Linked DNA regions of Nothobranchius furzeri. The protein of the gene in region 1 binds, or shares a complex with, the protein of each later gene. Links are inferred from orthologs where the notes say so. Each region holds a gene or a part of one and is shown in the gene's direction. Other genes may lie near its edges.

Region 1 (4,964 bases):
TTTGTAAACACTTGGTCTGGTTTGAGCTATAAAGGTTTCTATCATTTATCAGTTAAGGTATTCTTTTATTTAATCTTATGTTTATGTTCAGTCCTGTAATGTCCCACATGCACAGATTTGGTGCACAGCAGCAATCAGAGATAGTCGAGACAAAATCCACACATCAACAAAGTTACCATATCATCCTTTATTTATTTAGCTTCTTATAATCAGCTCAAGGCCAGCCAGAGCGCTGTGCCATCATGAAAACAGTGCAAGCAATTAAAACAACAGTGCAGCCTTGCATGTAATTGAACACCGTGAATAAAAATACCTCAACCAGGAATTAAAGTAAAGCAGAAGTCAAAACATTTTAGATTGGCATTCAGATGTGAATTTTATATATTTATCTTCATTTAAATTGTAATTATTCTGTAAGACATTTTTCCAGGATGCTGTCTCATTTTCAGAATCTTGAATTTTTATCATTTTTGTTGTATATTTATATATTTATAGCGTATTTTTCTTATAAACTACATACCTGGAGAGAAAAAACATGGATATAGATCATCAGTAATTATTTAGAAATTGTAAATCCAGCTTTAGGAGTAACTAATGTCAAATTCAGGTAGATGGTTTAACAGAATGTATTTATTGAGTATTAGAACTATTTAAAAAGATTATTATGAAAAAGTTATTTTTCTAAGTCCAGTTTTTGGATCACAACAAAATTAGATGATTTTACAATATTACACTTTATGAATCAGCTCTTTGACAACTATGATGTAAAAAAGGAATATCAAAAAGTAACACGTGTTAAACAGTGGTTCACAAGAACTTGAGCTTTAATAAAAAGGATGATTTAGAACAATGCGTGCCAGAAAAGATCACAACGTTGTCGCAAGATGTCAGATAAAAAAGAGCTTTCCATTCTCTGGTGGTGTTTATGTTTTTAAAATAGCATCAATATGTGAAGGCATCAATAACTTACTATATACTAGTATAAATACAAGCTCATTCATTAATTTCTATACCTTTTATTGTTTTTAAAGGAGGACATGTTGAGTTTATATGGACATTTAAAAGAAAAACTTCTGTGGCACGTTCTTTCACTCTTGTTTCAAATAATGTCAGATTTTTCATTTCTAAATAATTTTGTGCCACTTGAATTATTTCACTGACAGAAACGTATGCAGCTCATGGAACAAGAACAAAATAAGTTTGTGTGAAGATTTTTGTTTTATCACAAAACGTCACACAGTTGTGCAGCTATGTCCATGTGCCCATAAACTGTGTTACATAATGAAGTAGCTCTGGGGCTTGTGCCCCAGATGACCAGATCATTGCACAGTTGAGTCTGGAAGCAGGAGTTCAGCACCCATCTGCTCTTTGTGATTCACGCTTCAGTGTTTTTGTTTAGAGCCGACAAAAAAACAAACAGAAAATATCATTCCATTGGCTGCATTGTATTAGGTCATTTAAAATATATATGTTTATTAAAAGTATCAATTAAGACAAGTGGCAGGGATAAATGAAAAATGAAAAGATTTGTTTCATTTATTTCACGTGTACGGTGTTAGGGTTGTGATGTGTCCCAAGTATTTTACTCTCGATGCTTCTAATCATTTTTAATATAAGTTCTATTTAAAGCAATGCAGGGATACAAATATACGTACAAAGAACAAATATGTACACTGTTAAATATGTTATGTTAGTCGGAAAACAAAAAATGACACACATGAAAATAATAGGTATCTTTTGCTTTTGACTAGGATTCCCCAAGTACCCTGAAGGAGGCATGTGACGACAGACGCATGCGCACCGTTATACAGTCTGAATTGACCAATCACCGACGACTTCAGAAATACCGGGGTATACTTTCTGCGGACTACGCTTGCCTGTGAACGAAACTATCTAAAAAGCACATTTATTCACTTACATGAGGCGAACAGGCTGAACTGTAATTTCATCCAACTTTAAAACAGGTATAATAATCGTCTCCATTCAACTGTAGAGAAATTTAACATCAATTTAAATGAAGTCGAAACATGTGCGAGCGTTAGCATCTTAGCCAGCTCGCTAACCGTTTAGCGTCGCCGGTTGATTGTAACTAGGCTATGTTGTAGCATGCTACCACGGTTTTGGAATGTCTGGTACGAGTTTTCACATTTCTTAAGCAGTTTCAATGTCTGAACTTATCTATCGAACGGTATTCTGTTGACGTCCGTAAAGATTGATCTCTCAACTCGTCAAGCACATCATGCGCGCGCTGCAACTGTTCAGCTGTAATCTTTCTCATGTTTACCTTTCAAGCCTTTTCCCCCATGACGCATTTTTACGTTGGTAGATAAATAGTACAGTTTGTTATAACTCCAGGCAGCATAAAGAATTATAGGTTAGACCATCCAATTTTTAAAAGTAGTGTTTTATATCTTCAGTTATGCTGTATCTCAATGTAAACACAGGGTAAACTTGTTTTTATTTAATTAATCAAAAAGCTGCAAGGCAAGGAGGAGCTTTTATCCATGCATCATAAAAGTTATAACGTGACTGTAGAAGTGCACACTTGTCTAAAGTGAACATTGACTTCTTTGGGCTCTGAGCTGACGCATCTAAGATGAATCATAAACTGTAAAACATAGAGTATGTTTTTGGGTTCAGTTGTTTTTTAACTAAGGAGTTTGAAATGATTGTGATTGTAGTTGTTTACTATTTGATTACGGAGCATCATGTTCCCTTCAAGACAGTTGCACTCTGTCATTACTGACAGAGATACTGGCAAGCTATCCTGTCATGTAATCTGTTGTCTTTAATTACCTCTAACACAAAGTCTGTACAGTGTCAAACATTGTAAAATCACAACGTATTTTTGTTTATATTCCACATACTATTTTAAAGTTAAGCAAATTATGAAAATATTATATATTTTTTAGTGGAATATTTTATTGCACAAACCCAGACCCGCAAAACACTTACCATAGAGAACTGTTCAGTGTTTTCATTTCAAGTAAATCACATTTATAAACTTCTCTACCTGTTAAGAGTCATGGATGCAGAAGGGTTTGGAGAGCTTTTGCAGCAGGCAGAACAATTGGCTGCAGAAACAGAAGCTGTGTCTGAACTGCCACATGTGGAAAGGAACCTTCAGGAGATCCAGCAGGCTGGGGAAAGGCTTCGATCCCGCACCTTAACTCGCACCTCTCAAGATGCTGCAGATGTGAAAGCGTAAGCAACCTTTTTGGTTATTAAACCCTTTTCTTCCCCAGGTTATTAATCTCAGGCATGATGTTCAATTGATAGATTACTTTGCCTGCCAGCCTAGCCTGCCATCTAGTGGTGTCAATGTAAAATTACTTCTCTGCCAGTTGAAACCTCTCCAATCTTTTGTTCTTGTAACAGGTCCATCCTCCTTGGTACCAGAGGTTTAGACGTCTTCCACATTTCACAGAGACTGGAAACTCTAAGTGCTGCCACCACCTTTGAGCCCCTGGAACCAGTCAAGGACACTGACATACAGGTATGAATGAAACGAGAAGCCTTGGGTCCTGACACCTGCTAGCAAGTCTCTAATGCTTCAGATGCCTTACTAGTGCAAGCCTCATGTAAGATGAATAAGATAAACTTTTAATGCTCTAATGGTTGCGTGTGCCAAGCCTTTTTAAACATCCCCAACAGGACTTAAGGCTGCCAAATGTTTTCTAACTGATTGCTTATATTATTCCCTTGACATCAGTGGAATATGATTCTGTGCTGTGACACAGTGAGGCTTTCAGGAAGGTTGATGTTATAGGGCTCATAACAAACACTGTAAAACTAGATAATTGTGATTAATTCAGTCTCTTATCAGAGATAAGTGAAAAGAAAAACACTTAAAATTCTGAGCTCAGTGTTGGAAATAATCCCCTTGGATTTTAGCTTGGCAAGCCATCATCTATCTATCTATCTATCTATCTATCTATCTATCTATCCATCTATTCATCTATCTATCTATCTATCTATCTATCTATCTATCTATCTATCTATCTATCTATCTATCTATCTATCTATCTATCTATCTATCTATCTATATCTATCTATCTATCTATCTATCTATCTATCTATCTATCTATCTATCTATCTATCTATCTATCTATCTATCTATCTATCTATCTATCTATCTATCTATCTATTATCTATCTATCTATCTATCTATCTATCTATCTATCTATCTATCTATCTATCTATCTATCTATCTCTATCTATCTATCTATCTATCTATCTATCTATCTATCTATCTATCTATCTATCTATCTATCTATCTATCTATCTATTATCTATCTATCTATCTATCTATCTATCTATCTATCTATCTATCTATCTATCTATCATCTATCATCTATCATCTATCATCTATCTATCTATCTATCTATCTATCTATCTATCTATCTATCTATCTATCTATCTATCTATCTATCTATCTATCTATCTATCTATCTATTATCCATCATCTATTATCTATCTATTATCCATCATCTATTATCTATCTATTATCCATCATCTATTATCTATCTATTATCTATCTATCTATCTATCTATCTATCTATCTATCTATCTATCTATCTGTCTATCTGTCTATCTGTCTGTCTGTCTGTCTGTCTGTCTGTCTGTCTGTCTGTCTGTCTGTCTGTCTGTCTGTCTGTCTGTCAGGGCTGGGGGTAAACGATTATTCTGACGATTATTTTATCGAATAGTCGAATATTCTAATGACTATTTAGACAATTAATCTAATTATTTTTCTATTGCACAGTTAATAAAACCCAAAAAATCTCTAATAAATTCCTCAAAAAAATTAATAAATTGTTACTGTAAGAGAATAAGCACTACAGGCCTTCCATTTCATATAACACTGCTTTTATTGTGTTGGTTGGTTATGTTCTGGTGACGTGTAGAACTTGGGAGTGCAGGCTGCTGCCTGAGAGGTGGTTGGAGACAGAGTGTCTCCATGC
Region 2 (3,281 bases), about 1.5 Mb from region 1:
AGGGACTTCGTGTTCATCCAGGTGTCCTGGAGACGGGTGGAGAGCTCAACAGTGCTGCTCTCATGGAGTTCCAGGGTCACATTAACAGATTCCAGGTGAGACCACCTTAAATGTTCTCTGCAGGAACCTTCCAGGGTCCTAAATCAGCCTCATGGTGTGCAGCTGGTAACAGATGTGCCTCTTGCAGCGTTTGTGTCTGGCGCTGCTGAGTCGCCTGGCAGGAGGGGAACGGGAGAGGTTGTTGAAGCAGGCGGAGATTTCTGCACCTGCAGATTCAGCCGAACACAGAGAGGAGATGGAGGTGGCCATGCTGCAGGTTTGACTTTAATCGTTGGTGCTCAGTTGTTGTGTCTAGTCGGTGACCCGGCTCACGAGTGCCTCTCTCTCCTAGGTGTGCGCCAACATCATGGAGTACTGCCAGACTCTTCTGCTGCAGAGCTCTTCTCAGGCTCAGTTCAGCATCTGCCTCTTCAGCCCGTCGGGCAGCGAACCGGCCGGCAGAGACGGCAGGCCCTCGGGTCGGTGATGGTCACCTTAAATGTGTTTCCTCTTTCTGCCGCTCACTTTAGACGTCTAGTGAGTTTCATCATTCAGAAACACTCATCTCGTCCGGTTTCCTCTTTCTTGTTTTCTTTTTAAAGATCTCTCGACTTCTCTGCCATCGGTTGCCCATTCGCGGGTCCCGAGCCTGGGCCTGGTGCTGTACCTGCTGAGGAACAGCGCTGCAGATTTCTGCCAGTTCCACCAGAGCCACAAACACGGTCTGGCCAAGCTGCAGATTCTGGACCAGCTGCCTCCAGAGGAGCTCAAAGAGGCAACTTTCATTCATGACTTGACATATTTGATGGTTTTCTACGTTAATGATCTCTTTCACATATTGGCTGACTGAGTGGGACAGAAGTTGGCAGCAGGTCTCGCTGAACTGCATCTTTAAGATCGGACCTTTTAGAGGGCAGCAGGGCTGTTGTCTTCTGGAGGAGGCCGTCCTCCTTCTCGTGGTTCTTATTCACATTTCCTCTGTGCAGCTGTGCCAAGGCCTGGTGTCCGGTCCAGGAGGGGTGGAGAAGATCTCCTCAGTCCAGAGGAGCCTGCTAGCTAAAAGACGACTGGTCCAGCTGATCAACAACAGAGCCAAGCTGCTGGCGTTATGCTCCTGTATCCTTCGGCTTTTGCTTGCAGCCAAATAAAACCTCCAGTAATAGTTTTCCTTCGGTTCGTCAGCTCGCTCCTTTCAGGCCTTAACGAGTCTTCCTCAGATGTGATCGAGACCAGTTTATTTGTGTTATGGCGCCACCTGGAGTACTACCTGTTGTATTGCACCCCCTCTGACCCTAGGGACTCCTTGTTGCCCGGATCCAGTTTATTCAGATCCCGCCTCACAGATGGTGGGTTAAGCTTTCCAACTGCTGGTTTACGTTAAACAGATCATTAATGCAGTCGTTGGCTCAAGCGCAGCTATAAATACTCAGACATGTAATTAGTGATGCACCGATACCGATATCACTGTTATGGCCGATACTGACATCCTGACATGAATGCTTCTAAAATCAGAAGATTTTGTGTAGAATTAAAATGATTAAAGCTGAATTTACGTTATTATGCACACATTCATGCTTCTGAGATGATTTCATGGGTTAGGGTTAGGTTGGTAGTATCAGCCCGGTTTTATTTATCGAACCGATATGTTGAAACAGGACCAACATCGGCCGATACCGATATTGTCTCGCCCTAATAACAAAACTGTTTATACAGAGGTGTTCTTAAAAACTCACGTTTGTTTTCTCCAGAGTCCCTGGGGGGCCTGCAGGCCGGCGGCGGCCGTGGCCTTGGTCTGTCGAGAGTCAGCCAGCAAGATCTGGACCTGGTAAGAAGATGTGGCTAACTGCTGAGTTGACCACATTCATTAGCTTTTATCCCGATTCTAAAGGCCTTCGTCCTGTTTGCTGTTTCTGTGCAGCTGAAAGGTGACATGGCGTCCGGATTTGGCGAGACTCTGCAGAGGAAACTACTCGACATAGAAAGCTCGTACAGTCAAGTCCGCTCTCGCTACACCTTCATCCAGGCGCTGGTCCGCAGAATACGCGGCTTGCTCCGACACGCTAAAGGCTGATGTCAACAGAAGATAAACGTCAGTTTAAACTGATTCATGCCCACCGGTCCAGATCTTCTACGGGCCGTCGGGATCGCTGTAGAGCTCCAGACGTCTCATATTCTAATTATGCCAACGATTCTGTTTGATAAACACCTGCGATAGTTCTACCTGTTCAGAGGGATTTCTAATCTGATGTTTTTTTTCCTTTTTGTGAAAATAAAATTTTCTAAGTACTTGAAATGTGTTTGGAACTTTTATGACGCCCAAATGACCAGCGTCCGTGTGGGACGCGGTTTTCTGTCCCGTGTGGGACGCGGCGTCGTTTCTGATGACTGCGACCGCTGCTTCAGCCATGTTTGGTTGACTCATCGTGTAAAACTGTAGCAGCAGAACAAAAACAAGACTTGCGGTGTGGGAGTAGCACCACAACACTGACCACCAGAAGGACAACTCACTGAATGTCATTTATTTCCTTTAAAGGTACACTTTTAAGGCCTAAAGTGCGTGAGACTTTCAATCCTTTGGAAAGAGGTGAGACAGAAATGCAGCTCTACGTTTACCAGACAGGACTTGTGCTCTTATTGGAATACTGAGGAGGGAAAGGGAACGGAGCAGGGCGAACGCTCGCGTTGGAAATTAGAGGCACATTTCTCCACGGCTGGCGGCCGCTGTGGGTTAGTGGGCAAAACAAAAACAGGATGCATGATTAACGAACCACGCTCGTCAAACTATAAATTACTTTAAATAAGACAATTAATTACAGCTTTTCCAAACTTTTACACGCAGATTGTGCTGCTTTTGCGTCAGGAGGAAAATGTCCGATACTCGTCTGGAACACCCATGTCCAGTGGGCGGGAAAACATCCTCGGATAAAATACTATTTTTTTTTTACATTTTCCATTTTAAAATACATGATTGCAGTATAAACAGCACTTAAAATGAAGTCCATTAAAACAAATCACTAATTTATTCAACCATCTCTAACCTCTCCTGAGTCGACTCACCGTAAAAATGTCTGCACACTGTCACTGTGATGTCACTGTGATGTCACTGTGATGTCACTGACGTTTTTCTCAGGACAAAAATCTGTTAATAAGGAAACGACTAAGGCTTCAGGCTTACAGGCTTGGAATGATGACCAGATGCAGAAAATGCTTGGATTGATCATCAAACTCCAAACGTTATATAA
Region 3 (4,251 bases), on another chromosome or scaffold:
AGTTCCTTACTTCCTTTCTGAAACATTCTTCCTCTGCTGTGTTTGAGCTTGTGGAGGATTATCAGAACATCTGCAAGGACAAGGTAAGTCAGGAGGAGCTTAAACACACCCTCTGAGGGCCTTTATCAGGATTTATTAGTTCCATTAGTGGTGCATTTAGGCATTAAAACTTCTGTTTATACCTGCGTCCACTCACTGTGAGGGTCATCTTTTAAGCAGTGGGGTATATTTTGAAATATATGCCCCACTGCTTAAAAGATGACCCTCACAGTGAGAAAACTTAATTTTCTGTAAATTATTTAGATTTCTGCTGCCATGAATAGCAATTATTCGTCATATGTTTTCCACATTTCACAAAGTGTTAAAAACATGACAGGACAAGGAATGAGGTCCTGCTTCAAGTGGAGGAGTTTAAGTATCACAGTGAGGGAAAGATGGAGCGTGAGATCGATAGGCGGATTGGTGCTGCGTCTGCAGTGATGCGGGCGTTGTACCGGTCTGTCGTGGTGAAGAGAGAGCTGAGTCAGAAGGCGAAGCTCTTGATTTATTTTTTGATCTACGATCCTAACCTCACCTATGGTCACGAGCTTTGGGTAGTGACCGAAAGAACAAGATCGTTGACACAAGCGGCAGAAATGAGTTTTCTCTGCAGGGTGGCTGGGCTCTCCCTTAGAGATAGGGTGAGAAGTAGAGCCCTGCACTGAAGCCCTAGGCCCGGGGGTCGGCCCGGCCCGAGGGCTGGGCTTCGGGCCGACGACTGTGTAATTACCTCGGACACGGGCCGGGCGCCTTTATTTTTAATCAAATTCATAAAAAAACCGGAATCACTTGAACGCAGCAGCACCTGCCTGCGTCTCACGCACCGGCACCCGTTAGCTCAGTTAAGGTCTGTGTGGTTTATAAATGCGCCTATTCTCAAACAGCTGATTGAAACATGTGCCCCTGTTCTAATATGCCATTTTATGTCCACTTTGATGTCAGAAACCATTCGTTAATTCTCATGAAAACGGCAGCGTTCTATTTTTCTGTGAATAAATTCGCTCCGCAGTTAAAAAAATACAGCATTCACTGCTGTATTTTTTTCTAACTGGAGAGCGCATTTTCAGAGCGGCAGATTCAATTTACAAACGCTTATTGGGGGCGTTTATCTAATCTGCCGCTCTGAAATGCGCTCTGCAGTTAGAAAGTTAGAATGCTGCTTTTTTTCTAATTGCACAAGAGCGTGTTTTCAGAGCAGATTAGATTTACAAACGCATCCGATTAATATAGCGTTCGTAAATTTCATCTGCCGCTCCAAAAATACGCTCTGTTAGAAAAAAAGCTGCATTGATGCGTTTTTTTTTTTATTTTACTGCAGAACGCTTCTCACAGATAATTAGAATGCTGAGCATTCTTTCACGCTAAAACATTATGAAAGGTAAAAAAAAAAAAAAAAAAGTCTGGCTCGGGTCGGGCCAGAGAATCCTGAAAACCTTTTCGGACCGGGTCGGGCTGGGGCTCCACCTGCTCGGGCCGGGCCGGACACGGGCTCAGATTTTAGGCCCGTGCAGGGCTCTAGTGAGAAGCTTGGTCATCCGGGAGGGGCTCGGAGTAGACCCGCTGCTCCTCCACATCGAGAGGAGCCAGTTGAGGCGGCTCGGGCATCTGGTCAGGATGCCTCCGGGACGTCTCCCTGGTGAGGTTTTCTGGGCTCGTCCAACCGGGAGGAGACCTAAAGGTAGACCCAGGACACGGTGAGGGGACTATGTCTCTCACCTGGCCAGGGAACGCCTTGGGGTTTTTCACCCTTGACCCATTTTCATGTCTGATAAATCTGTTTAATGTTTCGGATCACCGTCAGAGTAAATGTACCTGTTTAAAGGGATTTTAAAGAACAAGCACCACAAAAGTGAAGTACTCTGTCAGGAACATGGGGAATAATCAGGTCACTGATGTATGAAGGAGCCTGACTATTAAGAGCTTTCGATGTGAAAAGGAGGATCTTAAAATCTCGTGCGAGGTTCTAGAAGTTTCAAAATGTGTCCTAAATAAACCTGCTACCATCTCACCTCCTCCAAAATGTGCTTCCGCCAGGTCCAAAGTTTTACGTGAAGTTTTCCTGTATAATTCGCAAAGTTTGTGAGGAAAGTAATTGCGCAGTTTTCAGACCCTGTTCTGTGCGTAGGTGAGCTTTCTGATGAGGCCCCTGAGCACCGGGAGCCCAGAGCTAACAGGATTGGTTTCCTTTAAGGTGGATGTGCTTCAGTCGGTGGTGCTGAGAGCGGGTCAGAACAGTAAAACGGCAGGAGTCTGCTGGCTGCTGCAGCAGGAGAGCTGCACCTGGAGACTCGTTGCTTCACTCTACAGGTATCACGTCTCACTGGTCGAGCGAAATCCACCCGTCTGTCTGTCTGGTGGTGCAAACGTCCACCCCTCTGTGTCTAATTCACCTGCTTGTCTCTGCAGAGATCGGGTCCAACTGGCGCTGGAGGACGACATGATGACTGACGTGGTTGTAAGTGACTTCAGGTTCTGCTGTAGTCTTTCTGCTTCTGTCTGTCAGCAGAATATCATTTCAGCTGAGCTGAAGTTTCTTGTGTGTAGCTGAGAGTCGTACTCATCACTGTCCAGCATCACTTCCAATGTTTAACTAGAAATCCATTTCTCAACATCTTACTATAAAACTCTAAATCAGGGGTGTCCAACTCATTTTAGCTCAGGGGCCACATTGAGGGAAATCTAGTCCCAAGTGGGCCGGACCGGTAAATTAAAAACAACTTCAGATTGTTTTCTTTGTTTTAATACAATCATTATAAAACAAGGCTGGAGCCCGAGGACAGTGTATCCAAAATAGTACAAGTACAACACCTGAAGTGTACTTGAAAATTTGAAAAATAAATAAAAAATAAAATCAATAAATAAAAAAAAATTCCTTAGTGATTCAAAGAGCTTACAGATCACATGGCTAGATCAGTTTAATGCAGCACTTAAAGTATATTTGACTCATTTTACTTTACATCTTTTAGCTTTCACCAGCACATCAACATCAGAAGTCACAGCCTGAGTGGCGGCCATCTTCAGGATGTGATTCAAGTTCTTGTGTGAGCCTTGAGCGCAGCTTTGTTTTATTTATACTCATTACAGAGAAAACTTGCTCACAAAGATAAGTTTATTTTCACTCTACATTGTAAAGTATGAAAATAAAGTTTACACAACCATCTCGCGGGCCGGATCCGACCCACGGGCCGCATAGGCCGCATATTTGACACCCCTGCTCTAAAGGAAGCAGGCGGCGTGCATCCCAGTAACGACTTTAATTTCTTCATATTTTGATTTCACTGAGGAAAATATTGGCTTATTTCTGCTAATCTAATAAATAATCTGAAGAAATCAAACAAGTGGAGGACAACAGTAGAATCAGGCCTAAATTATTGTGTTTAGGTGGGTGAACTTTTTCTAAAAATCACAACTTAACTCATTCACTGCCAGTGTTTTTCAGCCTTTTTAGCATTTTGTTAAGAGCCACAGAAGGTTGAGCGCTAGCATGATGTCGACGCCAAAACAACCAAAACAAAGCGGAGACTCACCTCTTACATCAGGAAGAATCCGCGTGTTTCGAGCGTTATCCGTTCTTTCATAATCCGTTGTTGAATTGTGATCGGCAGAAGCTTTTCTGGTTCGCGCCTCACTTTTTTTACAGCAGCGGCCCAAAACGATCTCCTAACACATGGATGTTCTGCTTCCTGATCACGTGAAGTGTGACGTACGCGGATGAAGATCGGCTTTAGAGCTGAGATGTTTGTTCTCACAGTGCGGGGGCTCGTCCGACGCCCACACAGTAAAAACATGCAAATGACGATTTTGGTCGTCAATAGCACTGAACGAGTTAAGGAAACCGAAATAAAAAGAGCAAAAATCTTGACTCAGACCAAAGTGATTAATCCTCTCTCCGCTTACGATTACGGGCTAAGTTTTCATCCAGTGGCTCTGTAACCGGATTACAGGATACAATAAGATAATTAAAAGAAAAAATAAACAAATGGGCCAATAATTAGGTTCGGGGAGAATTGGAGGTTGTTTAAGAATGACTGGAGTCACGGGTATAGCATGAAACGGTTTATATACTAAATTTTAATAATAGTGGGAGATATAACACATAAAGATAACACATAAAAACAGATGAAAACAATCGACAATAGTAAAATGGTCGGTATGAGATTTGATCATATGAGTCACAAGTCAGCCGGCGTCAAGTCAAATCCCCACGCTTGG
Region 4 (3,417 bases), on another chromosome or scaffold:
AGTGTGCCGTGGATTATTTCGATCACTGCCCAGAATTTGGCCGCGTCTATCTGGAGCTGCAGATCGAGCGAGTTCCTTTGGACACGGAGCGCAAAGCGCTCAAAGTGCTCCGAATTTGTGAGGAGAGGCAGATGTCAGAGCAGGGTAGGGGCTCGGTCGTCCTTTTTATCAGTTTGTGTCACAAAGCTAATCTCTCTGGTGTAAGCTAGGCTGGAAAAGCTTGACCTGGTTTGTTTTTTGTTGTTTTGGTCCCAGTGCGGAGCATCTGTAAGATCATGGCCATGCGGGCTGTAAGGAACAACCGACTGGGCTCTGCTCTCTCCTGGAGCATCCGAGCCAAAGATGCTGCGTTTGCCACCCTGATTTCAGAGAGGTCACATCCCTTTAGTGGTGCTCTTACTGAAATATACACAACTGACAGCTTCATCTTCATTCTCCAGGAACACATTTAACTTTTACCTACATGCTTCTTAAGCTTTTTATAAGTATCACTGTTGGGCTTATTAGTTCACTAAATGTCTTTCTCTCTGAAAATGATTTGAAGTTGTTTTTGTGTTTGTGTTTTAGGTTCCTGCAGGATTACTGCGCCAAAGGCACCTTCTCTGATCTGGATCTGATCGACAACCTGGGCTCAACCATGCTGCTCAGCGACAGGCTAACCTTCCTTGGTAGGAGCCTGAACACACACACACACACACACACACACACACACACACACACACACACACAAGACTAATAGAAACAGAACCAGTATCCGCTTGATGCAACAACATGTGATGGTGAGAATTTCTGGAGGATGATTTGATAGAAATGATTCTCTCCAGGAAAATACCGTGAGTTCCACAAGCTGTACGGAGAGAAGTGCTTCAGCGATGCTGCAAAGCTGCTACTCTCCCTCATGACGGCTAAAATCGCTCCCCAAAGCTTCTGGATGACGCTGCTGACGGATGCTCTGCCTCTGCTGGAGCAGAAAGAGGTCAGTCCACACCTGAACATCGGTTTAAAGTAGATTTGTTATTACAAAATCAAGAACTTTAGTTTATCCCTTTGATGCATAATGGTCACTACAGTGGACAGGTACTCAAAATAGTTATTTATTTATTTTTGCTATTAAGCACAGCTGTTGAAGACTTTATTGCATGTGAGCCTCTCCAGTTGGACTTCAGTAAGGCAAGCCAACATATTTCATGTTCAGAATGCACGCTGTCCACTGAGATAGACATGTAATAAAGTATTTGTAAATTAACAAAATGTTACAAAGAATATTTGTTGAAATTTGTTTAATTCACACCTAAAGATGAATGAAACAAATTGTTTAAAAAATCATGGTTGAAGATCTCATAATTCATGCATCAGAGGGTTAAATGCACAAATCTGGAGCATTCAGATGTTGTTAAATGAATGTTTTGATCCTGTTTAAGATCATTTGTGACCTCCTGGTCAGAGTTTTGTGTGCATGAAAAATGCTGCACAAATAGAATAAGTAATATCTATCTTTAAGTAGGTATTTGTGGAACTTTTTATTCATCATTAAAAATTAATTAATTTATGTAGTTTTTTTGAGTGACACACTACCGTATGTTATTTTTAATGTGAACATTACTACCCCTGTTTTATTAAAGGGGCACTTTGCAACTTTTTCATATTTTGAAGTCATTTTCTTGAGCCAGTTTGTGCTAAAATGACCCTTTTTGAGGTTAATTAAAGGCCACACAGCTCCTATCATCTCTCCCCCCCCCCCCACCCCCCCATGTGGCAGAATATCCCACTTGCAACCCCAGAGTGCCGGTAAAAAATTGAGCTGACACACCTGGCGCTGCAGTCTGCTTCCTGCATGTTTTGGATCGGGAACACATCTGATATGTTTGATTTGGTGACGACTCACTCCTGTAGACACTAATGAAGGCTGAGGAGTCATTTCAGCTGTTAGATTAAGGTGTTAAAAAGACGAACGCACAGCGAGGAGATTTCTTGGGGGTGCTAAAACTGCCTAGTTACCATTTAAACCAACTGACTACTAAACATGTTTCTTGTAAGAGTTAGCATATCAAAAATTGAGCTATTTGTCATTTTTTATTATGTGGATGAAAAAATCCGAACAGTTGGAGTTTCAGTGGAGTAACTTGTTCTCCTTGTTTTCAGGTGATCTTCTCTGCAGAGCAAACCTATGAGTTGATGTACTGCTTAGAGGAGCTCACCTCCTCTCTGATCACTGCTGCTTCTGGATCAGGCAGACCCATGCAGGTCTTTATTCTTCTTTCAGCTCGTCCCAGCAGCTGGACATTCCTGTTTCATAGTTTTAACACAAACCAAACCCAGTTTGATGTTAAAGTGATTATCTACTGCCGTTTCCACGTTTAAAATCTGTCTTTCTGTTTTCAGGAGGAAGACGTAGAGGTGACCAAGGTGGAGATGCTGAGACTCGCCCTGGCCAGAAATCTGGCTTCAGCTATTGTGAAAGAAGGAACAATGCAGACATAAAGTAGATTCAGATTTAAAAACAAGCTCTTCTTTTGCATTTTTGTACTGTTAATAAGATCAAGTCATCAAATGTTTGTTTTTTGATAATAAATATCTCTTCATTCCGTTCACTTACGTTGTTTCTAAATCATTTTTGGGAAATTATTAGAATAAATCAAAATATCAAACATATCAAATTGTTTTAAATTATTTAACTGTAAACAAAAAAAATCACGTTCACGCAACACGACACAAAAACAGCAGCTGTGTTTTATTAAACAGGGTCATTACAGTTCAACTGATCCCTTTTCTTATGAAAACAATCTCATTTTTCCAGTTATTGACCCTTCTCATGAATTATATTCCAAATATGTTTAGCTCAAATTTTTACAAAGTGTTTGTTGGACCAAAAGCTTTCTGTAAGAATTCAACTGCTTTAGTGGGGGAAGTTCCAAAGCAGTAAATGATTGTGTCATCAGTGTAAAAGTGCATATAAGCATCTGACACATTTTGTAATAAGTCATTGATATACATAATGAACAAGAGGGGTCCCAAGACTGAGCCCTGTGGTACTCCCTTGTGAACACTAAAAAATTCAGAGGACAACCCATCACAATTAAGGCATTGAGTTATGTCCTTGAAGTAGTCTGTGAACAATGGGATTGCATGTTCAGACAATCCCAAACAAAGAAGCTTTTGTTTTAAAACAGCATTTACACGTTGAGGGCAGGAGGCTTGAACCCAAAATGCAAGAACCCAGAGATACACAGGCAGGAGTGATTGCAAAAATAAGAATCCTTTATTTAGGAGGAGTTGCAAAAAATCCAAAGGGCTTGAATCTAAGCCTCGCATACAAACCACTGAAAGCCAAAACAAAAGGTCAAACTTATGAGCAGGAACCTAGCGAGCACAGAAGGGAAACTAGAACAACGCTGACAAGACAACGGACCAACAAAA
Region 5 (4,903 bases), on another chromosome or scaffold:
AAATATTCATACTCACAGAAAGTTGGAAACAGCGAGGCCCCAAAACAGAGCTGTGCTAATAGACATCCTACACTCCACACATCAGCGCGTTCATCCAGGGGACTGTTAATGAGAATCTCTGGGGCACTAAATCCACAATTAATCGGGACCTCCATCTTTGAAAGTTCTGACGTTCTTCCAGCATAACTGAATCCGTTCAACTTTATGTGTAAACCGTCTTCCAGCAGCTCAATAGTTTTTGCTGTTATGTTGTTATGAGTGATGCCTGCTTTTTTCAGCGTATTTAATGCTGAGATAATTTGTTGAGCGATCGTTCTAATGTCCTTAATGTTCAGACGCTTGTTTTCTTGATTCTCAACAAAGTTTAGCAATGTTGTGTTAAGTTTTTCAAGAGCAAAGCAAAACCAGTCGCCGTAATCAAATGTTTCGATGATTTTCACAAACTTCTTTTCATTAGGAAATAGGTCATTGAGATACAAAAGCAGGTTCGCTTCTTGTTTATACCGATGTAAAACTCTCTTGTGAATACATTTCACATAATACATTTCCTCATTTTGATCTTGGCAAATGGTCAAAACTTCACCATTTATTTCCACAGGTGGGAGTAACTTAACTATATACGTGTTGGTTAAACTTTCAATTCTGGTACCGAGGGCTATTTTAAAACTGCTCGACATGTTTCTGAAAGCTTGTCTAGCTGCGTGCTATTCTGCTCGATCTGCTAATGTAAAGTAACTGTATATGACGTCACGTCTGCGAATTTATGCACTTTGAGGCGCATGCGCATTCTAATTAATTGTAACCATCTGGAGATGATCTGTCAAGTAGCTCCACTCTGAGGCGCATGCGCATTCTAATTAATTGTAAGCACCTGGAGATTAGCCAGCTGTCAAACAGCTCCGTCTGCGTGTCGGCGGTCACGTGGTTAATGTTTTCCTCTTCCAAACAGCTCAGCGCTGCCAGCGTCTTCTGGCAGAACTGGATGCTGAAGCCATCATTTTCCCATTTCTACAGTAATATTTTGGTGATTTTTGACAATAAAGTGTATTGATTACTGTAACCGGCAGCTGTCTGTTTCGCTTTATATAGAGGAGCGCTGCCGCTGCAGCGTCCTTGACAAGCCAGACAGCCATTCTAGATATTTATAGTTGTTCCTAGCAGTAATTAACATCCACACCAACTATTCAGAACGACTATTTCAGATATCTGGAATGTAACTCCTAATTCCGTTTCTTCTTTCTACAATGTTCATTCTTGACAGGAAGTCTGTAATTGTGGAAGCGCTGTAGAAGCCAATAAACATGAATGGGAAATGTGATGTCATTTGTTACATTTCACATATCTAAAAAAAACGGTCATGCTGGACAGTAGAAATGTTCTCGTGGATATCTGGAATTTTAATTTCTACTAGGAACAATACAACACATATCCAGTCTGCTTAATGTTAAAACGAGATATCTGAAATAAGTGAAACCAGTTTTAAAATAAAAGAAAATGTATTCAGTGATAAGTAAACAGAACACCTAAATATGAATTCAAACAAAAAATGAAAATTGAAAATGAACAGCAAAAGTGCCTCAGTAAAGTAAAATTTAAAACAAACCTGCTGCAAGGAACTGAAATTAAACGTTTTGTTCAGAGGAGGGCAGTAAAGCATCATTAAGCACAAGTCCAATTCACGAAGAAGAAAGTTTCCGTTTGTAAAGACGTCAGACACTTTACTAACCAATCACAGGGCAGAATCTAAGATGGCGGAATCGGAGATGAGTGTCAGGTAGAAACATAAGCGACTAACTAACATTTATTGTTAATAAATAGTTAAGAGACGTTGATAATGAGTAAATCTGGCTACAGCCCGTGTTCATTTATTAAATCACAACTGTGGCAACAGAGTCATTTAACAGTCTGTTTTAAAAAGAATTAGCACCATGCTCGTATAGCTTAGCATGTGCTAGCAGCTAAACATTTCAAAAGGTTTTTGTAGCGCGGCGCTACCTCACATGTCAACAACAGTCAGAGCTGTTGTCAGCCAGGGAGATTTTTCTGGCAGAGATAGAAAACGCGTGCTGATGTCAAAATTATTACGTCTTGTAGTAAAAGAGGCTAGTCTATTGAAGCTAAACCCATCATTTAGACACGATGGAAAAGACCGTCTTAAGTTGGAATTATTTTAACGGACAGATTTTCTAAAATGAACCCAACAGAACCTTAAACCAATCGTAGTAAATAAACTGTATTATTTAACAGTTTTACCATAAATAAAAGGCTTATTGAGGAACATTAGAGGACATTTAAAAACTGCTGAATCTGTCAGACCGGTGTTGAGAAAAAACTTATGGGATTTCAAAGAGGCAGATTGACAAAGTTGTTTTATATCAAAGCTGGTACAGAAACACGATTTAAGAGAATTTAGTTCAAGGTTTTAAGGAAAAACAATAAAGCATTTTAATTCTGTATCAACCTTTGTATTTAAGGCAGTCAGTGAGGATGTTTGAAGTGTGTGTAGTGGTTCCATTCATATTTAGTTGTATTGTTCTTGGTGATTCAGTACAGTGCATTAGCTCAGCATTCTCTACAATCTGACCTTGATGATCATTTGGGTTTGAATTTCAGTTTTCTTTAAACACAAACTAAATCTCTCTTATTGTGTTTTAAATGCATTGGGTGGGTGCATGTGCAACATGCGTTTGACAAACAAAGATATGTATAACCTGATTGACAAACTTCACATCTAATTGAGGCATAAGGAGTCCGGGCAGGTCTACAGTTTTGCCCAGGACACATTTATGTTTTATCAGTTAAATGCATCTGAGGTCACTCACAAATGCAGCCTGTCAAGTCAAATTTGCATATTGTAGTATTTTCCTTGTAGTGGATCTGCATCATATCTCATTTATTAAAGGTTATTGATTTGCTGACTTTCACCTCTCTTCTCCTCTTAGGAGCTGTAGAGAGTTATGGACCATTTTGCTGGGGAAGTCTGCTCTGAGAGAATCGGTATGTCCTCCTCACTCAAAGAGAGCGTATGCTGAACTTGACCATCCAAAATTTTAGACAATTTATCCATAAGTAATTTCCTGGTTTAACTCATGCTATTCTAACTTCTATATAAACACACACACACACACACACACACACACACACACACACACACACACACACACACACACACACACATTTGTATTTTTGGTGCAGGCTCAAATAGAGGGAGAGCTTGACAAGCACTGGGACAGACTGCATCAGGGACTCAGTTACTACAAGCCACCCAGGTATAATTACATCAAGGTATTTTCACATCAGATACATGAATAAATGAGTAACTATTAGCTTCACCTCCCGTAGTTCATCCTCCGCTGCGAAAGTTAAGGAAAACAAAGATGTTGCACAGCCCCTGAAAGACTTTGGTCTGAGGATTAGTAAACTGCTGGTAAGCATTTAGATCTTTTTATGTCACAGAGGGTGGATTCTTACGTTTTCATGACTGCTGGTTCATAAGGGATTGTTGTAATAATGTTTTAGAATCTTGATGAGCAGCAGAGTGTGCAGCTTTTACAGTGCTATCTGCAGGAGGACTACAGAGGAACTCGTGATTCTTTAAAGGTGTTTGCTTTCAACTTTTTTTGTTCTATAACTTACTAGAAAAACAAAAATCCACTGGTACTAAATCATAGGTCTGAAGAGATTTAACAGTAGTTTCTGTGACAGGTTGTTCTCAACGAGGAACGGAAGAGTCAGGCTCTTCTCCTAAAGGTATGCACCCAAACTAGCATTACGTCACTTCTGTGCCATTTTCCAATCATTTCTGTTTTTACTAGTGTTGTTAATTTTTTTACAGATCGCTGATTATTACTATGAGGAGCGCATGTGTCTGCTCAGATGTGTCCTGCTGCTGCTGACATACTTCCAGGATGAGCGACACCCCTATCGGGTGAGACATATTTCTTTTTTTAAATGCATTTCTTCCTGATGTGATGTTTTTTTGTGTAAATAATCCTTGTTTTTTTTTTGTCAAGGCCGAGTACAGTAACTGTGTCAACAAGTTGGAGAAGGACCTGGTGAACAGCTATCAGTCACAGTTTGAGAACCTCTTCAAGGCTGAAGCACCAACATGGGAAACCCATGGCAACCTCATGGTAAACACTGGGTTTATTTTTACAGCAGCGTACTGTAGCCCCGTCTGCTTCCTTACACTCTTCTTCTCGTTTGCAAGACGGAGAGACAAGTCTCACGGTGGTTCCTGCAGTGTCTGAGGGAACAGTCTCTGCTGTTGGAGATCATCTTCCTGTATTATGCATACTTTGAGATGAGCCCACCCGACCTTGTAAAATTCACCAAAATGTTCAAAGAGCAAGGCTTTGGGTTGCGTCAGACTAACAGACACCTGGTGGACAAGAGCATGGACGTGCTGGTTGACCGGATCGGGTAAGGTCACCTCACTGACTTTGTATTTATGTGTTAAAATTGGATGAATGTATTTATTATTGTAAGATATGAATGTGCTGACAAACTGTCACAGAGAAAAAAACGTGTGTTCATATCTTGTAACCAACTTTATGAACTAAATGTAGTAAAACCATCTTTTTTACACTCATCTTTCTGAATGTCACCAATTCTTTTGTCGGTTTCAACCCGCTCAGTTGAAATGTTCTGTAATCAGCATAAAAGGCTTAAAAAGAAGCAGTTTTATTACTTAGTTAAAAATATATCACAATTATGTTTTTTTTTTTTATTTATGTTTATTTGGCAGACGCTTTTATCCAAAGCGACGTACAATTGTTAGTCTGTAGGGCATGTTGTGATCTGTGGGGGAAATCGGAGGAAACCCACGCATGCATGGGGAGAACACGCAACTCCACGCAGAAAGGCCACACAGCCAAGTTTCGAACCTGCAACCTTCTTGCTG
Region 6 (4,251 bases), on another chromosome or scaffold:
TCATCCGCCCCCGGGGCTCCGCCGCTGTGTAGTTGTTTGACTACCTCAGCAACTTCTGCCCCAGAGATTAGACAGTCCATCCCCAGGTCTCCCGGCTCTGGTTCTTACTCGGAATGCGCATAGGTGGGATTGAGTAGCTCCTCAAAGTATTCCTTCCACCGTCCGACTATAGCCCCAGTTGACGTCAGCAGCTCCCCATCCCCACTGTAAACAGTGTGAGCGAGTTGCTGCCTTCCTCTCCTCAGGCGCCGGACAGTTTGCCAGAACCTCTTTGGAGCCAATCGATAGTCTTTCTCCATGGCCTCACCAAACTCCTCCCACGCCCCAGATTTTGCCTCAGCAACTGCAACTGCTGCACCCCGGTTGGCTATCTATCCGGTACCTGTCTGCTGCCTCCAGAGACCCACAGACCAGCCACGCCCTGTAGGCCTCCTTCTTCAGCCTGACGGCTCCCCGAATTTCTGATGTCCACCAGCGGGTACGGGGGTTGCCACCACGACTGGCACCGGCCACCTTGCGACCACAGCTAGCAACAGCCGCCTCAACAATTGCCGAGTGGAACAAGGCCCACTCGGAGTCAATGTCCCCCACTGCTCTTGGGACGCGGTCAAAGCTCTGCCAGAGGTGGGAGTTGAAGACCGTCTTAACAGGTTCTTCTGCCAGGCGTTCCCAGCAGACCCTCACTATGCGTTTGGGTCTGCCAAGTCTACACGGCATCTTCCCCTGCCATCTGATCCAACTCACCACCAGGTGGTGATCAGTTGACAGCTCCACCCCTCTCTTCACTCGGGTGTCCAAAACATACGGCCGCAGGTCAGATGATACGACTACAAAGTCTATCATCGACCTGCGACCTAGGCTGCCCTGGTATCAAGTGTACCGATGGGCATCCTTATGTTCGAACATGGTGTTCATTATGGCCAAACTGCGACTTGCACAGAAGTCCAATAACAAAACCCCACTTGAGTTCAGATCAGGCGGGCCGTTCCTCCCAATCACACCCCTCCAGGTCAAGCTGTCATTGCCCACGTGAGCATTGAAGTCCCCCAGCAGGACAATGGAGTCCCCTGATGGAGCACTATCTAGCACTCGTCCCAGGGACTCCAAAAAGGGTGGGTACTCTGAACTGATATTTGGCCCATAAGCACAAACAACAGTCAGGACCCGTTCCCCGACCTGAAGTCGCAGGGAAGCTACCCTCTCGTCCCCCGGGGTAAACCCCAACACACAGGCAGAGAGTCTTGGGGCTAACAAAATGCCAACCCCAGCCCTCCGCCTCTCACCCGGAGCAACTCCAGCAAAGGAGAGTGTCCAACCCCTCTCAAGGTCTTGGGTTCCAGAGCCAATGCTATGTGTCGAGGTGAGTCCGGCGGTACTGCTCAACCTCTGCCACAAGCTCCTGCTCCTTCCCCGCCAGCGAGGTGACGTTCCATGTCCCAAAAACCAGTTTTCTTGTCCGGGGATCGGACCGCCAAGGCTCCCGCCTTGGTCTGCCACCCGATCCACACTGCACCGGACCCTTCATGTTCCTTCTGCGGGTGGTGGGTCCACAGTTGAATGAGCCCATGTATCCGGTTCGGGCTGGGCCCGGCCGGGCCCCATGGGCGAAAGCCCGGCCACCAGGCGCTCGCTCACGGGCCCCAACCCCAGGCCTGGCTCTAGGGTGGGACCCCGGTAACCCTCCGGGCCGGGTACTCCGACTCTTTGTTTTTACGTCCATGAAAGATCCTGTGAACCGTTCTTTGTCTCACCCTTCACCTAAGACCAATTTGTCATGGGAGACCCTACCAGGGGCACAAAGTGCCTCAGACAACATAGCTCCTGGGATCATTAGGGCACTCAAACTCCTCCACCACGATAAGGTGACGGTTCAAGGAGGAGTGACGTGTTTTGAATTATGTTGAATCATAAATGTAAAGTTAGCTCCACTGTTGTATTTTGACTCTTGCAGGTCAGCAGGCTTCAGTTTAACCTCAGCCTCACAAGGACTCGGATCCTCACAAGGTAAAACTATCCAGAAACCTGGTTCTGTCCATAAAACCGTGAAATGGTCATTCATGCCTTCATAATCACAGATTTCTGCTTCCCTTCTTTACAGTTAAAGATGTGAACAAGTTCACTTTCAGAAATGGCAAAGCTGTATTTGGTCAGTCTGGAGACCCGCCGTTCTCCCTCATCCAGAAGCCCACCTCATCTGGTCTTGGCACTGGGTCTCCCACTCTGGCTTCAGATGCATCTGTTGAACCAGGGAAACTCCCATCCACCACATCTCCCCCTGCTCCCAGGGTGGAGCCACAGCCAGCAAAGCTGACTGGAGGAGAGACACTGGGCATTTTTTCTGGTCTACGTGTGGGTCAAGGAGAAGAAGCCAAAGATGCTGCACCAAATCCAGTTGCAGAGTTTACACTTGGGGAGGCTGGTATTGGCCTGGGTGTGGGAGCGCAACAATTTAGCTTTAGTGCTGCTGACTTGTCCAAGGGGGCGGCGCCTAACAGCTTGTTCAAGCCTCCTGAATCGACCTCCAAGCCGGCGTTTTCTGTTCCCCCATCCGACTCAGTGCCTTCCACTTTGCCTACATCTTTCAGTAGCCTTGTTACACCTTCTTCAGAGGAACCAAAAGCCCCCCCACAGCCTTCAGAGCCAACACCACCTCCCGAAGAAGAGCCTACTACAAGTGACTCTACTGAAGACAGCACTAGTCAGTCTGTAGCACCAGAACCTGCACCGAATGCAGTAACCATGGCAACACCTGCAGCATCAACCCCTGCAGTGCCTGTTATCACTACTGTTTCTACTCTAGTGCCCCTTTCTACCTTCACTGCACCAGCTGAAGCAGTCCCCCCGCCACCAGTCAGTGCCCCATCCACAACAGAAGCCCCCCCAGACTCCTCCACCACCACACCTGTGTCCACTTCACCTGCTGCATCTGTTGCCCCTGATTCCCAGTCCCGCCCAGCAGCATTCCAAGTGCCCCCATCGGAAAAACCCGGTTCCATCTTCACTCAATCAACTCCTGCAACTACAGACAGCAGTTCTGTTGGGGTCCCACCTGTTATCAACACAGCTGCCCCCGCAGCCACCACCATCACCCCTTCAGTGTCTAGCGGTACTCCAACCACCACTGCTGCTGTGTTTGGGCAGCCTGTAGCACCTCCGGCATCATCAGCTCCAGCTCCCACAGCTTTTAGCTCTTCTGGGTTTGGTGCAACAACTGGAACCGGCTTTGGTAAATCCGTGTTTGGTCAGAATAACCTGTTCGCCCAACCTTCCAGCAATTCTGGATCAGCCAGCAGCTTTTCTTTTACCCAATCTGGATTCGGAGCCACCTCTAGTAGTGGGACCACCGGAGGAGGAGGTCTCTTTGGGTCTGCCACTGCCAGCAACGCAAGTTCCTTCTCCTTTGGTGCGAGTGGCGCCAACACAGCGCCAACACAGTTTGGACAGAGCACAACCCTGGCGTTTGGCCAGAGCTCTGGATTTGGGCAAGGACCTGTATTCGGGAGTAACACCACCACACCTTCATCTTCAGGATTCAGCTTCAGTCAGCCTTCAGGTGAGCCGAGCCGGGGCTTTATCAGGTCAGGTGTCACCTTTAGGGATGTTCCAGTCACTCTTTTTTGCTTCAGATCTGAGTCATTTGATTTTGAGTATCTGCCAATACCAAGTCCCGATCCGATACTTCAGGAATGTGTTAAAAAGGAAAAGAAAAAGGAGAACACATACAAGTTGTCCTTTAAAGCTTTTTATTATTGTTTGTGGTTTTTTGTTGTTGTTTTTGTTTTTATGTCATTTCGTTAGTTTATCTTCTATAAAACTCTGGCTCAGATAGAACATTCAGAAGAAATGTGTCAATGTTACAAATCTATTTAAAATTTGTCTCTTCGCTCTTATGTCAAATAGTTAACTTGGCGTGCAGCTGTTTTGAGCAATGTGCAATCCCACGACAGGGCAGGCACGGCACAAGGTGCTCAGCAGCAGGCTCACACTTCTCTACAAAACACCTGCAGAGCTGTGGGTTGAGACGAAACAGCAGCTCATACCGTGGCTCAAGGAGAAGCCCGACGTTTGCAACCACAGTCATCCAGTGCGATACAGCTAACTTGGCATTTGCATGTTTTTAGCTGAGTTGCTGCAGCAAACGGAGTAGTTTGTTTTTTAAGGTGGCGCATCACCTTTGTAGTGTTGAACGCAGCTCTACCATTTCCACCACGTTAAACGCACCGGTTTAAAAGACGTCCAAACTGAAGACTT
Region 7 (5,018 bases), on another chromosome or scaffold:
CAATACCACTTTTTTTCCAAACCGATACGATACCGATACTTGAATCTGATTACTTGCCGATACATATTACCGATACTTCTACCACACAAAAAATACAATGAACTGGAATACAGGTTTAATTTAATTTTCTGCTTTCAACAGGAAAAGACTGTGATGTAGATTATATATATATATATATATATATATATATATATATATATATATATATATATATATATATATATATAGATAGATAGATAGATAGATATAGATATGTATATGTATATATATACATACATACATTAATAAAAATGATCACAAAACTAAAATTTTAGGTGAACAGAAATGACAAGTTACAGTGAAGCCACTTTCAGGCAGCTGCATTGCTATCGGTTCCTTGTATTGGTTAACTTTTATCGATACCGATACCAGTATCGCATCGGTGCATTCCTAGTTACAGTTTGCTTCAACTATGAGACAGAATGTAAAAAATCCTGGAAGTCACACTGTAAAATTTTCTAAGAAATTATTTGTATCATGGTGCAGAAGATACATATTTAGTGCCTACATATGTGCAATAATTCTGGTCCTCACATACCTGTTACTTCTTCTTTAAGAAGCTTATCTATCCTCCACTTGCTGACTGAATTAGTGGCAACTGGTATCTGTATAAAAGACACCTGTCTACACCTTCAGTCAGTCAGACTCCACCATGGCCAAGACCAGAGAGTTGACAAACGACATCAGTGTCAGGATTGTACACCTGCACAAGATTGGCTTGAGTAAATCCACAACAGGTAAGCAACTTGGTGGGAAGAGATCAACTGTTGCAGCAATTATTAGAAACTGGAATAAATACAAAATCACTGACAGTATTCCTCGACCTGTGGCTCTGTGTAAGATCTCACCTTGTGGGGTACAAATGATCTTGAGAATGGTGAGGAAACAGTCCAGAAGTACATATGGGGAATTAGTGAATGACCTGAAGAGAGCTGGCACCACAGTGACAAAGGTTACTACTGGTAACATACTACATTGTTATAGATTAAAATCCTGTGGCACTCAAAAAGTCCTGGCGATGTTAGAACATCCACAACTTAGTTTAGAGAAAGAAGATTTTTCCTATGAAAGAGCACTCTTTGGTGGGCAAAAACTAAAAGCAGCACTTTTTGGCAACTCTGAACTCTGGCTGCTTAGAATTTCTGAAAGTTAAGATTTAACTGGGCTTGGAATAATAGTTTTATAAAGCAGCTTGAACGTATGAGACTTTAACAGCTGGTGGAGAGGGTGTCCCCCCACCCCAAAATTTTTTTTAAAACAAAATCAAGATTTGAGGTTCATAAAGACCTTGTGAGTGTTACATTAGCACGTGAAGTCATTAGAATAATTCTCTATGTCCAAATTCACCAGATATTGAAAATTTTAGGAGAATTTAGGTACCTTACATAATATACAGGCCCTTTCTTCTTCTTTATGCAATGGTGATGTGTCAGAATATTTTTGATTCATCATTGGTTTGTATGTGTATATATATATATATATATATATATATACCGGGCATATGTATATCCATCCATATGTATAATATAGACTGTGGTATCAGTTATGAACACGAGGTGGCAATAGTGCTCTAATTGACTGCATAGAGCAATGACAACGACCGGGTAAGCGGCCTTGAAGAAGTAACATTAACCAACCAGATCTCGCCTAACTGCTGCCTGGCAACCAGCGACCAATAGGATTCCTGGTGTGTGAGCGCGGATAAACGGATTTGTTGTGTTTGCTGGAAGCTGTAGCCACATAGCATTCAGAATAACATTTGGTTTAAAGGTTTTATAAATTCACCTGGAATGAGTTTATCTCTAAGGTAAGGAGCTAACCTTTTGTCGCGAGATGTGGCTGTTACAGTTCAGTTGAAACCGGTGGTACGTCGAGATTTGTTCCCCAGTTGAAAAACGTACGCCTTCGCTTGTCTCGTCAAGATGATTTCGTCCTGCCAAATTGTACAATTATAGGCGTAGATGTTATTTTTTTTATCAGGATAAGACATTTATGAGGGAACGAGTCCCTTGTGTATAACTGTAAATTGAGTAATATTATCTAATTGTATCGTAATCTGAATTAGATTAGAATTAGTGATATTCACTAAACATGATGAATTTCACAGCTACAGCAATGACCAAATGATTAAGATATATATTTTTAGGGATTTTCTTGAAATAATATTGCTAAACACAACAGTTTACAAAGAAGCTGGCGGAGAAACGGTGGGGGACCCGAATGTACTAGTTTTTTGTTTTGTTTTGTTTTTTTCCATCTGTCAATAAACAATTTCCCCCAGACTTTTGGAGGTCCTCCCAATGTTTTTGGTAAATGTGGGTTGTTTTTGTTGTTGTTGTTGTTGTTCAGCAGAGGCTTTGGAGAATGAGGTTTACCTTATTGTTGACACATGACCTTAAACCTTAACCAAGTTTGACCTACAAAGCTTTAGATGTTCTTCTGGGTTATTTTGCTTTTGATTTTTTTTAGAACAAGGCATAAGGTAGATTTTTTTAAGATCCTTTAGCCTACCCTGTGTCATCAGAGAGACCCCAATAAACATTACAGAAAATGGTTTAGTTCTCATTGGATAACAAAGTGTATGGGTTAATGCATTAATAAGTCATGGCTGTGATACAGGTAGTGTCTGAGGTGAGACTGCATGTGTGTTTGTTTCAGCAGAACTGATCTTGCAGCTGAGACAACCAAGCGCAAGAAGAGGAGGGAGCTCACCGAGGACCAAAAGCATGAAATTAAAGAAGCTTTTGACTTATTTGACACGGATAAAGATAAGGAGATTGACTATCACGAGCTGAAGGTAAGAAAATGGGCCATAGTGGTGGTTGTTATGGTTACCTTATGGTTTTTGTGCCTGAAATAATGCCGTATATAAGTTATGCTTTTATAACCTCATCATTCCTATTTTTCTTTAACTGCTGTGAATGTGGAGCACCAGGTATTTATGTATTATTATGTAAGTAAAAGTAACTAAATACCATTTAATCACCTTTTGGAGAAACGCTAATGGGTTTTCCATGTCTGAAGGCACCCTGCTGAAATAAAGCTCCAGGGGAATTGGAGCTAACGTTCTACAGCAATAACATTTATTTGTTGTTTTAGTGCTAGTTACTAATTGTTCTAATCCTGAATTCAAACCAAAACAACATTTAAACATCTTGTCAGGTGGCGATGCGCGCTCTCGGTTTTGAAGTGAAGAAAGTGGATGTTCTGAAGATTCTGAAGGATTACGACAGAGAGGGAAGTGGGAAAATCACCTTTGAGGATTTCAGCGAAGTGGGTAAGGTGGTCATCGGCTCTGGTATTACCTCATAGCTTGAGGTGCTTCATTAGCTACTAAACCTTTTCCCTACCCCTCAACAGTTACGGATCGCATCTTGGAGCGAGATCCCAAAGAGGAGATCATGAAGGCTTTCAAGCTGTTTGACGATGACGAGTCAGGAAAGATCAGCCTGAGGAACCTGAGACGGGTTGCTCGAGAACTCGGGGAGAACATCAGCGACGAGGAGCTACGCAGCATGATCGACGAGTTTGACACAGACGGGGATGGAGAAAGTAAGACCGGAGTCTGAGATGAGAGCAACTCTGTCTCTCTTTTGTTGTGATTTTGTGTCTGATTAGAGCCGCAGATGCAACAATACCAACATCATCACTGCATCTTCTGGCACACACAGGCATTTTAATTATTTATATGATTGTTCCTAACATTGTTGCTTTCACTGTTAGACCAGATCCTGTCACGTCAGCAGGCATCTGCTGCCCTGGAACAAAATAGATTTACTAACGACAATGTGTAAACATGTTCAGTTAAAGTAACAAAAATCCACTGCTGCTTCGCTTTTTGTTTGTTTTCTTTCATTCTTGCGTCTAAGCTTTCCAGGTAAATCCAGTAGATCTGACCAGGTGTTTTTCCCTTCTTTTCAGTAAATCAGGAGGAGTTCCTCTCCATCATGACCAGAGACCCATGAAGAGGTTTCCCCATCTGTAAGTTGGACTCTTTGCCCATATTGGGAGGAGATATGGGCCTTGTTCTCTTGCTTCTGAGGTGGACTGGACTTTATCAGGAGCCTGGAGCTTTGTTCTGACTTGGTTTGATAAATAAAAGCACCAGATCGTGTCTGGACCAACATCTGCTCACACTGCTCAGTTCCTCTCGTAGACATGAAGTGTCAATATGATGCTGACCTGCTGGCATTTCTTTAAGAAGCGAGCTTTTATTCATGGAGTGTGTTTGTGTAGAAGACGAGTCTGAAGCTCCGTTAGGAACGTGTTAATGTGATGTAGTAAAACACAGAAGATCAGATCTGTTTCACTCGTATCCTATTTGACCTGTTGCAGTTATTAGTTAAATGTGGCATATTTATTTTTAAATTGTTTTGCCAACCCTACTCATTTGTCATTTCCCAAAGAGCCAGAGTCGTCAGACCCGGCACCATCATACTTTAATAAAGTACTTTCAAAGTTCAGCATCATGTTTGAATGGTTGTTTTGTGTTTGACATGTGCGGTGGCCACAGAAGAGGCAGGAGAGCTTCAGAGTTTCTAGTAAAACACGATAAATTTAGTGTTAAACATGAAATACACACCCCTCAGAAGGTTTGCTCCAGGCTTCAGGAAAGGATAACAGTTGTTGAACCTCAGAATCAGGATTGTGGCTTTTGTCCAGTTCACTGAACACCGGATCAGTTTGTTGCCGAGGTAATCCAGTCCACGTGTGTTTGGTTAGTATCTACATTCTTAGCGGGGATGCATGGATCCCTTTAGGACCATGTAAAACCAAAAGAAGAGGTCCGTCCATGTTCCCAGTGTTGAGAAACTTTAATGTCATGGTTCTGCTGTGGTTTAAACCATGGCCGTTGGGGTGCTCTGGGCCAGTTCACAGTCAGGAGATTCAGCTTCTCCAACTATAAGGTCATGGTTCTGAATCGGATAAAGGTGGAATGGTTCATCTGGGTTTAGAGAAGAGGAGGAGTTTGTGTATGT

Evidence for each region.
Region 2: nup93 (region 1) and nup205 share a complex: the UniProt entries of both Homo sapiens proteins name them as parts of the nuclear pore complex. The link is inferred for Nothobranchius furzeri from reciprocal best matches to the Homo sapiens genes NUP93 and NUP205.
Region 3: nup93 (region 1) and nup107 share a complex: the UniProt entries of both Homo sapiens proteins name them as parts of the nuclear pore complex. The link is inferred for Nothobranchius furzeri from reciprocal best matches to the Homo sapiens genes NUP93 and NUP107.
Region 4: nup93 (region 1) and nup85 share a complex: the UniProt entries of both Homo sapiens proteins name them as parts of the nuclear pore complex. The link is inferred for Nothobranchius furzeri from reciprocal best matches to the Homo sapiens genes NUP93 and NUP85.
Region 5: nup93 (region 1) and nup188 share a complex: the UniProt entries of both Homo sapiens proteins name them as parts of the nuclear pore complex. The link is inferred for Nothobranchius furzeri from reciprocal best matches to the Homo sapiens genes NUP93 and NUP188.
Region 6: nup93 (region 1) and nup214 share a complex: the UniProt entries of both Homo sapiens proteins name them as parts of the nuclear pore complex. The link is inferred for Nothobranchius furzeri from reciprocal best matches to the Homo sapiens genes NUP93 and NUP214.
Region 7: nup93 (region 1) and cetn3 share a complex: the UniProt entries of both Homo sapiens proteins name them as parts of the nuclear pore complex. The link is inferred for Nothobranchius furzeri from reciprocal best matches to the Homo sapiens genes NUP93 and CETN3.

The regions. Positions count from the first base shown.
Region 1 is NC_091744.1:86,664,656-86,669,619, forward strand, and holds the start of nup93 (nuclear pore complex protein Nup93), read left to right. Parts: upstream 1-1,809; 5' UTR 1,810-1,964; intron 1,965-3,021; 5' UTR 3,022-3,025; coding exon 3,026-3,204; intron 3,205-3,378; coding exon 3,379-3,496; intron 3,497-4,964. UniProt on the Homo sapiens protein: Plays a role in the nuclear pore complex (NPC) assembly and/or maintenance. May anchor nucleoporins, but not NUP153 and TPR, to the NPC. During renal development, regulates podocyte migration and proliferation through SMAD4 signaling.
Region 2 is NC_091744.1:88,207,514-88,210,794, forward strand, and holds the end of nup205 (nuclear pore complex protein Nup205), read left to right. Parts: intron 1-21; coding exon 22-95; intron 96-187; coding exon 188-316; intron 317-391; coding exon 392-518; intron 519-641; coding exon 642-814; intron 815-1,025; coding exon 1,026-1,155; intron 1,156-1,256; coding exon 1,257-1,385; intron 1,386-1,787; coding exon 1,788-1,864; intron 1,865-1,957; coding exon 1,958-2,110; 3' UTR 2,111-2,332; downstream 2,333-3,281. UniProt on the Homo sapiens protein: Plays a role in the nuclear pore complex (NPC) assembly and/or maintenance. May anchor NUP62 and other nucleoporins, but not NUP153 and TPR, to the NPC.
Region 3 is NC_091741.1:38,092,562-38,096,812, reverse strand, and holds part of nup107 (nuclear pore complex protein Nup107), read left to right. Parts: coding exon 1-83; intron 84-2,230; coding exon 2,231-2,346; intron 2,347-2,445; coding exon 2,446-2,494; intron 2,495-4,251. UniProt on the Homo sapiens protein: Plays a role in the nuclear pore complex (NPC) assembly and/or maintenance. Required for the assembly of peripheral proteins into the NPC. May anchor NUP62 to the NPC. Involved in nephrogenesis.
Region 4 is NC_091752.1:54,276,840-54,280,256, forward strand, and holds the end of nup85 (nuclear pore complex protein Nup85), read left to right. Parts: coding exon 1-144; intron 145-255; coding exon 256-373; intron 374-567; coding exon 568-668; intron 669-824; coding exon 825-976; intron 977-2,142; coding exon 2,143-2,244; intron 2,245-2,382; coding exon 2,383-2,481; 3' UTR 2,482-2,591; downstream 2,592-3,417. UniProt on the Homo sapiens protein: Essential component of the nuclear pore complex (NPC) that seems to be required for NPC assembly and maintenance. As part of the NPC Nup107-160 subcomplex plays a role in RNA export and in tethering NUP96/Nup98 and NUP153 to the nucleus.
Region 5 is NC_091746.1:61,211,636-61,216,538, reverse strand, and holds the start of nup188 (nucleoporin NUP188), read left to right. Parts: upstream 1-1,688; 5' UTR 1,689-1,748; coding exon 1,749-1,774; intron 1,775-2,942; coding exon 2,943-2,997; intron 2,998-3,195; coding exon 3,196-3,269; intron 3,270-3,342; coding exon 3,343-3,427; intron 3,428-3,519; coding exon 3,520-3,600; intron 3,601-3,705; coding exon 3,706-3,750; intron 3,751-3,835; coding exon 3,836-3,928; intron 3,929-4,013; coding exon 4,014-4,133; intron 4,134-4,210; coding exon 4,211-4,422; intron 4,423-4,903. UniProt on the Homo sapiens protein: Component of the nuclear pore complex (NPC), a complex required for the trafficking across the nuclear envelope. Required for proper protein transport into the nucleus.
Region 6 is NC_091746.1:57,211,121-57,215,371, forward strand, and holds part of nup214 (nuclear pore complex protein Nup214), read left to right. Parts: intron 1-1,951; coding exon 1,952-2,004; intron 2,005-2,098; coding exon 2,099-3,553; intron 3,554-4,251. UniProt on the Homo sapiens protein: Part of the nuclear pore complex. Has a critical role in nucleocytoplasmic transport.
Region 7 is NC_091746.1:37,903,805-37,908,822, forward strand, and holds cetn3 (centrin-3), read left to right. Parts: upstream 1-1,685; 5' UTR 1,686-1,829; coding exon 1,830-1,846; intron 1,847-2,697; coding exon 2,698-2,836; intron 2,837-3,201; coding exon 3,202-3,316; intron 3,317-3,399; coding exon 3,400-3,591; intron 3,592-3,960; coding exon 3,961-4,004; 3' UTR 4,005-4,502; downstream 4,503-5,018. UniProt on the Homo sapiens protein: Plays a fundamental role in microtubule-organizing center structure and function. As a component of the TREX-2 complex, involved in the export of mRNAs to the cytoplasm through the nuclear pores.